2 linked regions of the Rhinolophus ferrumequinum genome follow. The protein of the gene in region 1 purifies or fractionates together with the protein of each later gene. This does not show direct contact. Links are inferred from orthologs where the notes say so. Each region holds a gene or a part of one and is shown on either strand. Other genes may lie near its edges.

What was found. The genes of interacting proteins can lie anywhere in the genome.
Region 2: the proteins of CEP43 (region 1) and CEP78 purify together in Homo sapiens (affinity purification with mass spectrometry; 3 studies listed by BioGRID and IntAct, with this or other methods). This does not show direct contact. The link is inferred for Rhinolophus ferrumequinum from reciprocal best matches to the Homo sapiens genes CEP43 and CEP78.

What each region holds. Positions count from the first base shown.
Region 1 is NW_022680354.1:1,061,419-1,069,452, reverse strand, and holds the start of CEP43 (centrosomal protein 43), read right to left. Parts: upstream 3,034-8,034; 5' UTR 2,929-3,033; coding exon 2,827-2,928; intron 2,189-2,826; coding exon 2,135-2,188; intron 1-2,134. UniProt on the Homo sapiens protein: Required for anchoring microtubules to the centrosomes. Required for ciliation.
Region 2 is NC_046295.1:42,818,864-42,826,543, reverse strand, and holds the start of CEP78 (centrosomal protein of 78 kDa), read right to left. Parts: upstream 3,341-7,680; 5' UTR 3,244-3,340; coding exon 2,991-3,243; intron 180-2,990; coding exon 7-179; intron 1-6. UniProt on the Homo sapiens protein: Centriole wall protein that localizes to mature centrioles and regulates centriole and cilia biogenesis. Involved in centrosome duplication: required for efficient PLK4 centrosomal localization and PLK4-induced overduplication of centrioles.

The DNA.
Region 1 (8,034 bases):
GGTGCGTAAGTATGTTATAATGTATCAAATTGTACATTTTAAGTATGCTGAGTTTACTGTAGGTCAAGTGTACCTCAATCAAGTTTTAAGAAAACCCAAAAAAGATAAGGGGAAAGATCACAAAGGTCCTCAGTAGGCTGGTCCAGGAAATTTGAAGACATTGGGTCAACTGAAATATTTGAAGAAAACGGAGGGGCAAGATCAAACGTGAGTTAGGACTAGCCAGTCTAGGAGCGATGTGGAGGAAAGACGTCAGGACTACCAGTGAAGGAGAGAAGGCAGGGGTCAAGTGATTTGGAAAGATCAAGCGCAGGCCAGGAGGTCAGCAGAGAACCTCCTCAGACACCTCAGGTACAGAACTGACAGACATGTGGAAAGAAGAGCAAGGGCTCTCGGATTTCCAACTTGGATAAGTGACGGTCCCCGTAGGCAAACAGTGTGACCTACAGTCGGCAGCTCAGGAGGGCGATAAGGCCCAGAGATACAGGGCTGAGTTACTGAGGTGGTCAAGGTCACCCAGGCAGAGAACCCAGACAGGGACTGTGGATACTGCACCAAGAATTCAAGTGCGGTGTCCAGGAAAAGGTCATGCTGCAAAAACCAAGGAATGCACAAAGGAAAAAGAAAGAGAAAAAAGTCCCAAAATTCAAAGATTTTCAGGAAGGAAGAAGGAATTAAGAATGTCAAATGCCACAAAGAGCCACTAAGATAGGTAAGAACATATACTCACTTAGGATTCTTCTTGACAGCAGCAAAAGAAAGTACTAAGGTGTAGCATAAGACGTTAATGGATTAAAAGGTGCCTGGAATATAAATCGTATAAGACATACACATTCTTTCAAAACTTGACAGTGGGGGGAAAAAAGTGGTATTAAAAGCAGAACATGAGACGAGGGCAACAGCTTTCTCCTTGAGATATAAACTTGTTTCCACGCTCAAAAGAGCCAACAAAGAGGGAGGAGCCGAGAGTACCAGCACGGCAAACCCAGAGAAAGTGATGATTCTTGGTGAAGAAAGAGCCTCCGATAGCAAGCAGGAAGGAAAGAAGTGCAGCGTGCAGACGCAGGGTAGCTGGAGGACACACACAGTGAGGGCTTGACGCCTGAGGCTTCTGTTTCCCTGCAAGGGAGAGACAAGACCCGCTGTCAAGATGAAGAAGGGGGTCGGGCAGAAGGCTATGGTGAGGCTGGAGTGGGAGCTGCTACGCAGACAGCAGAGGCCTGGGCCTGACAGGGCCCTGCTCAGGTTGCAACCACCGTTCAGTGACACCAGCAATCCACAGGCTTGGGTGACAAACAAGAAGGGAGTTAGTTTGTTGAATTAAGTGACCAATGAGATTTACCAAGTATAGCGGGAAGGCCAGGCAGTCAGGCTTCTGGAGATCTGGACCATGGGGTCCAGACCAGTCAGGGCCGAACGGCAGCCAAGAGAGGACTGATGCTTGGATGAACACCCAAGAGCCAAGAGCTGAAGAGGTTCATGAGGTTAGAGAGGCACAGGCATCTAGGTCTGAAGAAGTGACAGGAGAGGAGGCTGATTTGTCACAGAACAAGCTGAAGACCTTCATTATGGAGTGCGTATGTGGACAAGGATCCAGGACCTTTACTCAGGGTGGTGGTGAGACTTGCAGTAGGGAGAAAAGACTAAACACTTAAATACAGAGAGGAGGCTGGACTTGTGACAGCAAGAAAGATGACATGATTTTAAAATAACTAGGTGGTCTTGACAGTTTGGGGAAAACCGGCATACTGTGTTTCCCCCAGCTGGTGGGGATTCACAATGCATAGGAAAGGTTCTGAGGAGTCCTGCAGTAAACTCTGAGAATAGAAGCATTTCTTCCACTAGCTCCCATGACCTTGTGTTTCAGATGTCCCCAATACAAGAGGATCTATGACACTTAAGATTCAGATTGGCCTCAGGAGTACTGTGGTTCCTTAACTTTCCTCAGATTGTCCCAAAGTTCTGAAATATACACAAAAAGGTTAATGTTCACTCTATTGTAAAGAAACGTAATCCTTAATAGTTCAAAATGATCCCTGCGTGCCCACGACCACGTGTAGTATTTTACAATGGATTTTAAGTAGAAACGACACAAAAATGAACATAGTCATATTAAAATTCGTAGATTTCATACCTCTACTTTTTCTTGTTCCTCTAGTGCCAAAAACACAGCTGCTCGGAGTTCAGCCTTTAAAAAAAGGGGGGGAGAGTTGGGGGGTAATGGAACAGAAACTGCTTCGAGACAATTTTCAGGACAAGAAAAGCATAGGACGTTCAGTTCCACTGGCACCACCCACACCATCTGAAGTCAAAAACGCACACTGGCAAGACAATGCTTAGTGGGCAGGTGCAAAGAGGCCAGAAAAGCCCCCAGAGGCGTTGGAACAGTGCCCCAAGCTCTCCGCGCCCCTTGGCCTTGTCCCTCCGCAGCCACCCTCCGGATTAGCCCAGCCTACGAGCCCCGACAGGTCTGAGCTGGACTCGCCGAGAAACACCCCGCCAGGCCGGCAGCCCGCCAGTTACAGCGACCCGGAGGGAACCCCGCCACCGCCCGGGACTCGAGGAGCGCCGGGCGACTCAACCGCCCGCAAGCCGCTGCTCGGCCTCCTCTCCCGCAGGCGCCGCGCGGCCCGGGGTCTCCCTGGGAGTGACCCTCGACCCCCGAGGTCGCCCGCCCCCGCCCACGGGCCCGGACCCTGCCCGGGAGGCCAGCCTGACGCACCCCGCGTCCCTTTGTGACGCCAACCGTCCACACATGCTCCACGGCCCGCAGGCGCGGCCGGCCTCCCCTCCGCCAGGCCCTGCCGGCCCGGTCTCCCGCCCCACCTTGATGCGATTCAGGACCCCGCTGTTCTCCAGCGTCTGCACCAGCAGGTCCCGCAGCTCGGTGTCCTCCTCCGCCACCACCGCAGCCGCCGTCGCCGCCATCTTGCTTCTCCAAGACAACCGGCCAAGCCGCGCCAACGGCCAACGGCCGCCGCAGATTTCTCGCGGCGTGCGGCAACGCGAACGAGACCACGCCCCGGCGCCGGTGCGCAGCCCCTCACGCCAGGGGCGGGGCCTCGGAGCGCAACCTGACGCCGGGGGCGGGGCCTAGGGCGGGGCGTCAGGGGCGGGGCTGTGGCATGGATCGGGTAGGGCGGGGCCGGGGTTTGGGGCGGAGCGAGGCCCTGGGTCCTTGGCTTGGGGGCGGGGGGACCCGGGAACTTGGAGTGAGGCAGTGGGATGGGGGCGGGGCCACTTGGTTAAAAGTAAGTTACGTTTCAGACAAGTAAGTTGATAGCACAGCCTTTGTCGTTTCCTTCCCTGCCTTGTCCTGTTTCCCCACTACCCCACCGGTGTTTCTTGGGATCTCCTCCCAAAAAACTGTTTACACTCAATTGTTGTCTCTTGGTCTGCTTCTGGGGCACTCAAACCAAGCCCCTTATCCCAGACTTAGTCATGTAAAGCAGGTCTGTGGGGACAGAGCCAGGAGTGCAGTTTCCAGGCTCTCGGCCTCACGTGGAAAGGTGCTCACTAGGGTAGTAAATGGCCATCAACTGTGATTGGATGGCCGTCAGCTGTGCCTGGTTGGCCGTCAGCTGTAACCAATGAGCAATTGGCCATTAATATAACTGCAGTGGCTACGCTAGCAGCAAATGGGGGCTGGCAAGAAGGTGGTGGCTGAGCTAGCAAGCGTGGATTGCAGTTAGCAAGTGGGGTTGGTTGGTTGACAGAGAAGTGTATGGCAGATTGCGGATAGTGTGGCTCCTGCTTCCTGTGTTTCCAACCCAGCCACCAGCGAGACTATAGTGGTATGACACCCCTATCTATGGCTCCATGGGTGTTCCTTTTAGGCCTCACCACATCCTGCGTTCTTGTGCGGGGAACGGGACAGGAGACCCCCACCTAACACCCTGCACGACCAAGGGACAGGGATGGCTTTTTGGAGGACAGGACACTTGACGTGAGATACACAATCGTAGTGGGGGGTTTACTGATGCCTGAAAAAGAAAGGGGCATTCTGCGCAGACAGAGCCTAACAGCCCAGAGCACCAAGGCCAAGAGGCACAGGGCAGTGTGCTCTGTGCAGGGATGGCAAGTGGGCTGGAGACAGGAAGTCAATGGATCAGCAAGGGCATTAGCCACTGATACTATGAGTTTGACTTTCATCTTGAAGGTGTGAAATAGCAAGCTAAACATGGTTTGAAAAGGAATGTGACATTAGCTCATTTGGGTTTTAGAAGCATCCAGAAGCAAGAGGGGAGGGGTGAGTTGGATGCAGTGACACTGGAGACAGTTGAACAATCCAGGAGCCCAGTGGGGAGAAAGACGGGCCTGGACTCCACTCGAAAAGGAAGGTTAATCGCCTATCAGGAATGCTAAAGAAAATTTGTTGTGTAGATTCTGTCGCTTATCAGGAATTCTACAGAAAATTTACTGTGCAGATTCTATTATTTCATCAGATTTCAAGGAGAAAGAGCTCACTAATTTCTTGGCATATGGAATAGCTGTAAATTCCTTGAACCTATTACCACATGCATGTAATAAAAGAAATAATAAAATTACATTTTTTTTTTTTAAGAAAGGAATGTAAGTTCCTAAAAGTCAGTCGGAGACTGCAGCATACTTCTTCTGTGACACTGTTACTACTCAGTACGGTCGTATGTATACAGAGGACCATCAATGAACAGCTGTCATTTAGCATCTACAATGAGCCATAATTTAAGCTCCATGCAGTAAATCATTAAACTTTATCTGCATGATAACCATGAACATTGTAGATGATGATATGATGAGCCAGCTGAGACTCAGAAAGGTTTGTCTAAGATCAAAAAGTTACTCAGAAAATGATGCAGCTCATTTCCTACGAGTTGAAATACTGAAATCCGGGAAAGAGAGGAACTTTTCCTAATATTCTAAACAATGAAAAGGTAAGTGTTATGTAAGCAGCGTAAACATGCTAAGTAATGAAAAGCGAACCTCCTGCCAGAGTAAAAGGACCTCGTAGGGAGGGTTGGGGGGGGCAGGGTGGGGCTCAGTGAAAGGAACAAGGAGTGAGTGAGTGGGGGCGGGGGTGAGGGAGTGATGGCGGTGGAAGGGACGCTTGATTCTTTTTTTTATTGGAAACACGTGGGATTTTCTTTATTAAATAGTCACACTTGATTCTTATTTGACTTTTTCTAGGTCTGCAACTAGAGCTCCTCTGTCAGCTAAACTACAATTCTCTATTTCATTTCTTTTAGCAGCTTTAGAAGATAACTTTCCAAGTCACTATGGTATTAATTATTTCAATTACTGCTTCATCAAAAGAGTTAATGTACCTCTTTACTCCTGGGGAGTGGCTTATATAATGAGGGAATTTGCCCTAAAATACATGCGTTTTTCCTATCATAAAATTAATAAAGTAAATTAATAAAGCTCTGTCTGAAAACATCCATTTCCTTGAGGAATTTAAGGCTGCAGATGTCGCCATCTATATAGTCGTAAACATGGGACTTTTAATATTGTTGCTTAAAATTTTTAATAATTGAAGGAAAACATACTATTACATTTAAAGAATATCCCAAATAAGCCTTAAATTAAGAAGGAAGAAATGGGAAATGCATCACTGGTTGGCTTGGCAGTTAAGACAGCTATTAACTTATTAATTTTCATATCTCACCAAAATTGATGGTTTAAGGTTAAAACGATGAAAAAAAATGCCCTTAAATGTGATACTAATTATGTGCTTCACATTTAGCTTGTTCTTATTTTTACCAATTTGGTCTCCATATTTTATGTTAGAACATTATAAAGAAGGAACAACTGCACAGTTGACGATTTTATGTTATTTAATTCACTTCCTCATCCCAGCTATTCTACATGATGCTCTTTTTTTCACAGCTTTATTGAGAAATAATTCAAATATATGTTCATCCATTTAAAGTGTACAATGATTTTGGTAGTTACGGAAATGTGTAGCATCATCACATTGTAGTTGTAGGATAGTTACGTGCCCCTAAAAGGAACCCCATACTCACTGGCATTCACTCTGCACCCCACTCCGCAGCCCTAGGCAAACATGACTCTACTTGAGGTCTCTGTAATTTTGCCTATCTGGTCAATTTCTATACACGGAATCATATAACGTGGTCTTTTGTGACCTGCTTCTCTCACGTAGCCTAATGTATTCAAGGTTCATCCATGTTGTAGCCTGTGTCCCTACTGCATTTCCTACCAACGATTAATGTTTTACTACCAATATTGGGTAATAGTCCATTGAATGGATGAACGCCTGTGGGGACAGAGTCCCAGAGAGCAGTTTCCAGGCCCTCGACCTCACGTGGAAAGGTGCTGGCTCGGGTAGTAGAGGCCATCAGCTGTGATCAGATGGCCATCAGCTGTAACCAGTTAGCCATTGGCCACTGATTCAACTGCCGTGGCTATGCTAGCAAGTGCGGATTGCAGCTAGCAAGTGGGGTTAGCAAGCACGGATGGCAGATTGCGGATCCTGTTGATCCTACTTCCTGTGTCTTGCCTGGGCCTGGCTGCCAGTGAGACTGGGGTGCAGGAAGACCCCCTGTTGGGGTACTGGCGGATGTTTACTTTTGTATCTCTACCAGCTGCCATTGAGAATATAGTGGTATGACCCCTATCTGTGGCTCCGTGGGTGTTCCTTTTTGGCCTCACCATATTCTCTGTCCACCTGCCGAGGGCTGGACCAGAGACCCTGTATTACAACGCTGTTTGTTTATTCATCAGATGATGGATATTTGCCTTGTTTCCTAGTTTGGGCTGTCAAGAACAATGCTGCTATGAAAACTCGTATACAAGCTTTTGTGTGAACATATACTTATTCAGCATATTTCAGATTGACACCTAAAATTAAAGACAACTTGCCTTTAAAAAAAAAAAAAAAGAGGAAGGACCTGGACTTATGCTGCAGCGATGGTGCAGAGAAGAGAATGGATCTGAGCTACAAATGTGCTACAGGGACCAACTCTGCAACCAGACTCTGACAGGGAGCGCAGGAGGCCAGAGCAGGGGAAATGCCTTTGACTTCCCAGTCGCACATTTTTGGCCTAGACAGTCCCTGTGTCTTTAACAGTCAAACATAGAAAAGGTGTACTGAACCACGGTGGTAGCCTTTCAGTGTGAACTTAGGAATATCCATGCTTTCTCTCTTGAGGTCAGCCATCCTGTGTGTGTCAGGGTCGGGATAGTTTACATAGAGGTGGAGAATGATTAAGGTGCTCAATGGCCTATGTGTTTCCATAAATGTTTTATAGTTTGTGCAAAAGCCAGCAGCATGCTGGGGAAGGAGAAGAAGCCTGCGTCTCTCCCATTGGAATAGTTATCACACTTACTGAAATTGCTTAGCTCATCATTTGAACAAGGACTTGATACCAGGTTTTGTGTAGCGGTTACAGAAGGAACTTTTGAGCCCCACGACACAGGTTCAAATTCACTTCTGGTGGTGTTGACTGTAGCAAGTTCCTTAATCTCTCTGTGCCCCAGTTTCCCATTTGTAAACGGGGTAAAAATCTCCCCGTGCAGGTAGTTAGAATGATAGAATGATTGCTATACGTAGGTAGAACTGAATGTCTGAAGCACAGAACATACAATAAGTATTAACTGTTAGTAGTTGTTTTGTATGTACAACCTCATTTCATTCTCTCCTTGATGTTTTTTTTTTTGAGTTACTTGTTATTTTGTTGCAACTAATGCTCAGAAAAGTTAGGTAGCTTATCCAGTGACACAGCTGGCAGCTAAGATTAACCACCAAGTCTATTCAGTTCCCAACACATACTCTTTCCACCATATGTTTTCCTCCCAGTAGTTACAGAATGTAATTTAATTAAACGAGAGAGGAAAGGTGATTCTACCTTCCCAAAGACACATTCATTGCCACCAGGGGACAGCGTGCACCATGACAAATGGCCGGGGCCCCCTTCATTGTCTTTCATTAACTGCTGAAAGGGGTGACGTGGAAGTGGACAGCTGGGGCCATCAGTTAATGGACTGTGCATTTAACTGACTTCCTTACATGAGCTGTTCCTCAATGCTGAGAAG
Region 2 (7,680 bases), on another chromosome or scaffold:
GCTTACTTTGGTTAAAATAGTTAAGTCTCTCTCTCTCAGAACTAGTCCATTTAACTCCAGATTCTTTAGAGCACTTGATGCACTTAAACAGCATTTAAGAGCTTTACATAGCTGGAAGGTCACATCTTTGTTTCTGATAGCAGGAACGCGACTTCTACATACTTTATTTCTGTCAGAACCTAAAGAAAAATTATTGTGATATTAGTCATTTCAATCATACATTTTATCATCATTAAAAAGCATCCGCTCTGTGCTAAGGCATAGAAATGATTGCTCTTAAAAGTTCTCTTTAAGGAGGGACACGTAAACTCAAAACTTCAACCACGAGATATAAAACATAAACTATGTGCGAAGACATTCCCATGGAAGCTGAAAGTTATATTTCAGTGATGGCTTCAAGATAACTCTGAAGTTGAATCTAGAAAGATGACAATAGCTACAAAGAGCGGGAGGTGCATTAACTGCAGAGGGAGCATAAGTGCGAAGACTTCCAAACCTGACACCTGCTGGACACTGGCAATATTGCAGGTGGGGATGAACAAAGGCCAGGTGTGCAAGAGGGAGAAGAGACAGAAATTAAAATAGAATGGTTGGCTGAAGCAAGCTTGGGAGAGAGTGTGGCCTTTATCCCACAGGTGACGAGGACCTGGGCTACTATTGGAACAGTTTCTATTGGAACAGTTACTATTGGAACAGGGTAGAAAAAGTGCTCCTCTGCTATAACAACAACTAGTTAGATAAAGGGAATGATTAGAAAAAGCACCCCTTCCTCAGGGCCAACTAGCCTCCTGAGACTTGGCAGAGCACAGCTCAGATTTCATACTTCTGTGCACAACACAAGCTGAGCGCACCAACATGCACTAATCCTGTGGGAGTGGGCCATTATAAGCATTATTTTAAGCATATCTTTTCGTTTTAGATGATCACTCAAGACGAGTAGGCAGATGAATTGAGAGAAACTGAGCTCAGAGGCAGCAAAACCAGCTAGAAGCTTCTGCAATAGTCCAGGTAAAATGTAATTAAGGATGAAGAAACAAATCTAGGACATTAAAATCTACAAGCTAGACCCACTGGACGCAAGCGACAAAGGTTCAGTGAAGGAACTCTGAAGAGAATGGTCTCTGCAATACATTTTTCTTACATTCAATGTAAAATATTAAGCAAGATTAAGTACAGAATGGCCTTGACTGGAATTGAGATCTCTTCCAACTGGAATTTCTCTTGATTTCTAAGTTATTACTTTGGTTATGTCAAGTCCCTTCAGAGGCAGAGAACAGTTCCTACACCTGAATGAGAGGCAGAGAATAACCTGAATAATCTAGTTCTCTTATCTAGGTGATGAGTTGAACTGTCCTTGCAGGAGAGGTAACATATGGCACAAACCCCAGAGCCTAGAAAAGAGCCAGGCACATGACAAGTGTTCAGGTTTTTTAAAATAAATCAATAATTATTTCCTTTTCTAAACCTTCACACCCTCCCTCTCTGTTGGCTACTTTTTCTCAGCTGATAAACAATTAAGTGTGTCCATCTAAAACAAACATTCAGACCTAGATTTTCTGGATCTTCTTTGTGGGTCACCGCAGTCCTCTCCCATGTTTTCAAACACCTGTCCTCCCATAGAGCACAGATCTGTACCCTGGGCTAGACCTGTCTAGCAGACACGTTTGGATGTCCCACAGGCTGCTTTTAAAGCATCAGATACGAAGATCCTCTCCCCATTCCCGATCCCTTTCTACTGTGTTCTGCGTGTCACAGATGAAGTGCTGCTTTAAATTATCACTCAAGCTTGCTGCCCTCCCGCTTCTATTCTCTTTTGATCTCTGTAACCCAGTCCTCCCTACCTGTACCTTTTATTGTGGCCCTTAGATTACAAGTTGCCCTCTTCCCCCATCAATTGCCTTGCATATGAACGTGAGCTTCCAAATCAAAAGTGCATCTCATCATCTTTGAGTGGTTCCCACAGCCTAGAGGACAAACATCCAACTTTTTGACAGGACAAACAAGGCCCCTTCCCGTTTGGCCCTCACCAGGTTTCTAGTCTCAACCCTCACTTCTTTCTCAAACCTGAAGTCCTACTTCTGTACCTTAGTTTTGCCGTATATCCTTATATTTCTCAAGCTTTGACGCAAGCAGCTCCCTCCTGCCATCTGAGTAGCTTCTACATTCTTAGAACGGATGGCACCTCCTCCAGGAAGCCTTCCCTGAAACTTCTCTTCAAATATTCTGTCTCTGCAGCACCATAACTCACTTTTTCCAGAGTACCAACTACGGTGCTTGTGTTCACTTGCAGCCTCCCCCAGTAGAAAGGGAGATCCTCTAGGGCCGGAGCCTAGTGTCCAGCAGTGCTTGATGCTGACTGAGCTCACTCAAGTGCCAGGATCCTTCATACACATAACCTGCAAATTCTAAGAATCCATGGAAAACGTGGTTTTTAATGCCATTTTACAAGTGTGGTGATTGTAGTTCCAAAGTAACTTGCCCAGGTCACAGTGTAAGCGCTGGAATTCAAACCGTAGGCTGCATTCACACCTATGCTCTTTCCACTATATAATGCTACTATTGAAAGTTTTCCCCCTAACAGATCTTTGTCTTAAAATGAAGTGAAAGTGTGGGATGTATCAATTTCCTAATCGCTTTGTTCTACGTTAGGCAAAATCATTCAATAAAACTCGGTAACATCTGTCGAATGCTTAATGATGTCCCGAACTGTGCTAAGCGCTCTACAAGCATTAACTCGGCGAATCCTTGCAACTACAGCAAAGAATGGGTCCTGTTAAGCCCATGGTACAGTTAAGAAAAGAGACCTAGAGGCTTTAAGGGACTTGCCCAGAGTCACCGAGCTGGTGAGCCTCCTGGGCCGCACGCACCGTCCCCTGGATACACACCCCGACGCTGGGCACCCGTTCCAGCGCCCAGGTTCCACCTTGCACCGTTTAAAATCCCGCTTCACGGCACCAACACGAGGGCCGGTGGAAGCTGGAACTACAAACCTATTTCGGCAAGCCACGGCTGGAAGAAGCTTTTGATAGAGACCAGGGGCAGATCTTTATTAATCTTGAGCGTGCTCAGGAGCGGCGCCCAGTCCACCAAGCGGAGGCGGTCGGCGTTGAAGTCCAGCACGCCCTCCCGCAGGCAGGCGCGCACGGCGGGCAGCGGCACCGAATCCTGCAGCGCGCACCGGTACTCGTAGTGGGAGAAGAAGTCGGCCGCGCTGTCGCGGCGCAGCTTCACCGAGTCGATCATGGCCAGAGGGCAGCCTCGGGGGACGCCGGCGGTGGAGGCGCAACCCGCACCCGCCTAGAGCTCCAGGTCGCTGCCTGGCCCCTCGGACGCCCACAGCTCAGCGGCGGCGGCGCGTACCGTGTGCGGGAGCAGTGGCTCGGCCAGCACACGCAGGGCCCGGGACCCGAGCTAGGCCGCCCCTCCACACCGCGCTCGCAGGCCGTTAGCGCCCGCCTCATCACTCTCCGCGGCGCGGGACTGCGTTTCAAGCCGGCGGGCGGATGCCCGCGGGGGCGGTGCGCCAGTGCGTCAGCGCGCTCGCCGTGCGTCGGCACGCAGGCCCCGCCTCTCGGGGAGACGGCGCAGGAGACTGAAGGGCGGGACTTTCGAGGCGAGGGCGATGCGAGAGGTATGTGGTTTTAGGACTTTGGGGTTCCCTCCAAGGGAATCCGAATGAAAGTGTGCTATGGAGGTAGCAACGCATTTTCAAAGGTATTCCGGACACCTCCTAAATATCTGTGCTTGCAGCGCCCGGGAGGGTACAGTTAAAAAGGATGTAGAAACGACTGTGGTCCATTACATCTTTCAAATCTGTGTTAATTTCTGCAAAGAACTTTTCATTTCTGTAGTTTCTACTCATCTCACACAGTTGTTGGCAAATTGTAGAGTATTCCACGCATTCAGAACATTGTTGTGGTTTCTAGTAATTTCTTTGTACTGAGGATGATGATGATGGTTAACTGTGGTCACTAGTACTTTCTGTCTCCTAGGCGTTATTCTAAGCACTGAGTCAGTATGAAATCATTTAATTTTCTTAACAACTCCGCAGAAAGTTTACTATTGTATATCCATTTTACAAAAGAGAAACCGAGGCACGGGAAGTTAAGTAACTTCCAGCTAAGTAAGTGGAAGAACTCAAGACAATTGGTGTTAAATTAATTAAACAATGAAGTCGTTAGACTGATGTGGCTCGAATGCTGTGGCGACCTACATACGAAAACCAAAGCCTAAGCCTTAAATGCCTCACTGTTATGAAGTCAAAAAGGGAGGGACAAGCAATCACAAGCAGTCAACTAGGCTTTAAGCTATAGTCAGTCAATAATTTCCTTGCTTTGCTTTCTTTTTTATTTTTTTTTATTTTTAATTTATTGGGGTGACAATTGTTAGTAAAGTTACATAGATTTCAGGTGTGCAATTCTGTATCACATCATCCATAAATCACACTGTGTGTTCACCACCCAGAGTCAGCTCCCCTTCCATCACCATACATTTGATCCCCCTTATCCTTATCCCCCACCCCCCAACCCCTTTGCTTTCTCCTTTTTCCTATGAAAGTCTCTCCCCAGCTCCCACTGGTGGAGCGCTCCTAACCACTTCCAGTTTGATGCTGCCTGATTTGAATTGATTTTTGCTCACATAAACTTAAAAATTTAAATACGCTTCAGTTTATCTTTCAACATTGACCTCATAACCTGTACGTATTTATATCCAGTTTCTAGAACAATGGTAGTCCTCCACCCAGGCCTCAGGCATTATGTTTACAGCATTGCTCTCCCATCCACTGCATTCCGGATACCCCCACCCACTACCAACATGCGCACACTCCACTAAAATTCCCTAGATGTGGTCAATAATGACTTCTACATGCAACATGCTCAAACTATAATATAGTCATGCACCGCATTAACCGTTTCGTTTAATGATTGACTGTATTTACGATGCTGGTGTACTATATAGCCTAGGTATATAGGCGGCTATACCATCTAGGTTTGTGTAAATGCACTCTGTGATGCTCGCACAATGACAAAATTGCCTAACGATGCATTTCTTAGAACATAGCCCCGTCATTAAGTGCTGCATGATTGTGTAGCAAACATTCCTCTACCCTCCGACCAGCTTATGAAATGAAATATCACCATTCCTGTTGAAGAGCCACTCTCCCAATCACAACCACTCTCTAATTGACCTTGGATACCTCTCTTCTGAACTTTGTATTCATCATTGCAATGTATGTCTGTATATTTCTGCTATATTTACAAGTATTTTTAAACAGCATATAACATTGTACTATGTTTTCTTCTGCTACCTCTTTATTTAGTGTTATCTTTGCTAGGTTCATCCATGCTAATTTGTAAAGATCTAGTTCATATATTTTCCTTGCTGTATAGGATTCCCAAGTAGGAAAATGCAATAATTTGTCTATTTTCCTGTTGATGGAAGTTTAAATTGTTGTCAGTTTTCAGTATGATTTCTTTGTTACTACATCCATTTTTATAGTCTTCGGCATCACTTAATGTAGTTGTCCACTATCTTCTTAAATCTTCCTTTTTTTCCATGTAGCCACCTAATTCCACTTCTCTAATTCCTTCTTCTCTGTCTCACTCTTGGGTGTCTCTTGCTGATTCTAAATGTTGGTGTTTTTCAGGTTCCCATCCTCAGTGTCCACCCTTTCTGACATTTCACAATTTCGCTGGGCGATCTGATCCCCTGCTCAGGCTTAACTTCCACTCTAGGCTGATGACTTCTAACGAAGATCTCTTTCTCCATACCTAAGACTGCTTTGTGGAAAGCTAAAGATTGTGCAGTGCCTGCAGTGTCAATTTTGTATTTTTTAGCTTGCTACATAGGCTCCTTCATGATTTGACTTATTTCTTGCTATATTCTTCCCTGAATGTCCCCTCAACAAGTGAAACTGCTTGAAGTTTCTGATGTTCTATTATTCCTACCTGGGACTTTACAGGTACTGCTCCTTTGCCTAGGACCCTCCTCCTCCACTCCCTCCTTACTGGGCTGCCTTCCACGTGTTTCCCAGCTTCAGGTTGGGGATCACCTTCCCTGGGAGGCCTTCTTTCCCTAGTCCTCATCTCTCCTTCCCTGCTTGTTTAGTGCCTAACTGCTCTGCTCCCTGACATCCCTGTATGGTAACACTTAGTGTATCTAATAATAAGCATCTCTTTAGGTGGTTTTCCTTCCATAAACCATAACTCCTTTGAAGGCAGGGACCATGTCTCATTTATGCCTATATTCCCTGTGTCTAGCACAGTGTTGGTACATAGGAAATGCTGAATAATGACTTTTGGAGCATTCTCCTCTATTCTCTCTGGAAGCCATTATCAACACCTTGTGGCCGCTGCCTACAGATGCAGCTCAGGGAAACCTTCGTCATATTAACATACTCATTTTAAATTTACTTTCCCCAAGCTTACTTATTTTCTGTCTGGCAAGATTTCTTTCAAGGCTTAATATTCTGATAATCACTCTTCTATTTCCATTTAAATATGGCTTAATAGTTCTTTTGGCTCCTACCTTAGTTCTCCTTTTGGCATCTGGCGAGTTCTACCCACATGCTTCCCTGAACAGTGAGCAAAAGCTGCCTCCATACAGCACCTCTGGGATCCTCTAACAAACCATGGTTATGCCTGTCCTAAGACAAAGTGCTTGGGCTTCCCTGCAGGTACATGACTTGGAAAGAACATGCAGTACAAGAGATGGGCTCTCCTCCTTCAGGGGTCTGGTGAGTGAATGTTTGGCTAGAATACAGTTAAGTGGGATCGTTTTACCTCTGATTCACTGTACTCACTCCTAGTCCACACTGACAACATGATACTCAGACTGTCAAGCCAACCTACCATTCCATGGGACCTCAGTGCTAATGCTGTCTGCTCATCTCTAACATTCATCATCTCTGGACCTGCTTTTAGAGGAATGAGTTTGTTAGGTCCAGTCCCAAGCTCTGACAAAACATAGGCTGTTTTATTTTAAGTGACATGTGGTCCCCATTTCTTTTTTTCTACTCCCTTACTTACAGCTATTCACAGTGGTTCTTCCAAACCGCCTCCATTTTCATGTCACCACTAGACTCTGCTCTCTTACCTGAAGAGGATACCTCTTATTTCACCAGGAAAATTAGGTTTCAGACACAGACTTCCTTGTCTTCTTTCCACTAACGCTGGCCACCTTCCAACCTATGGTCTATAATGCAGCCGCCACCACCTCCTCTTCAAATCCTTTGGTGACTTCTTATTGCTCTTGCATAAAGACACACTTCCTCACAACGGTCTAAAATAATGCTACTCAACATGAAGTCCACAGACTGGCTGCTGGTTGAGAACTGTTACTGTTCTTTAAGATAAGAAGTTTGCTTCAGAATGAAAATCATGTCTGTTTAGTTCAGCAGACAAGACTTTCTTGATGAAGGAAGCAGTATGTTGAGTTCCGTTCTAGAACAGCTCCTTATCTCATTGTGTACTGGCACTTTGAGTGCAACAGTCTACAGGGCACTGCATCCCCTGGGCATGATGGAGACATGATCTCTGCAGCCTTGTCTTGTGCCCCACTCCCTTTCATTCTCAGTAATCCATCCTGCAATGGCCTCCTTTCAGGCCTGCTTACTTACAGTGGTTCATTTTACACTGTAAGTAAGCCATGGTACTTACACCATGGTACACCTCCCAAGGT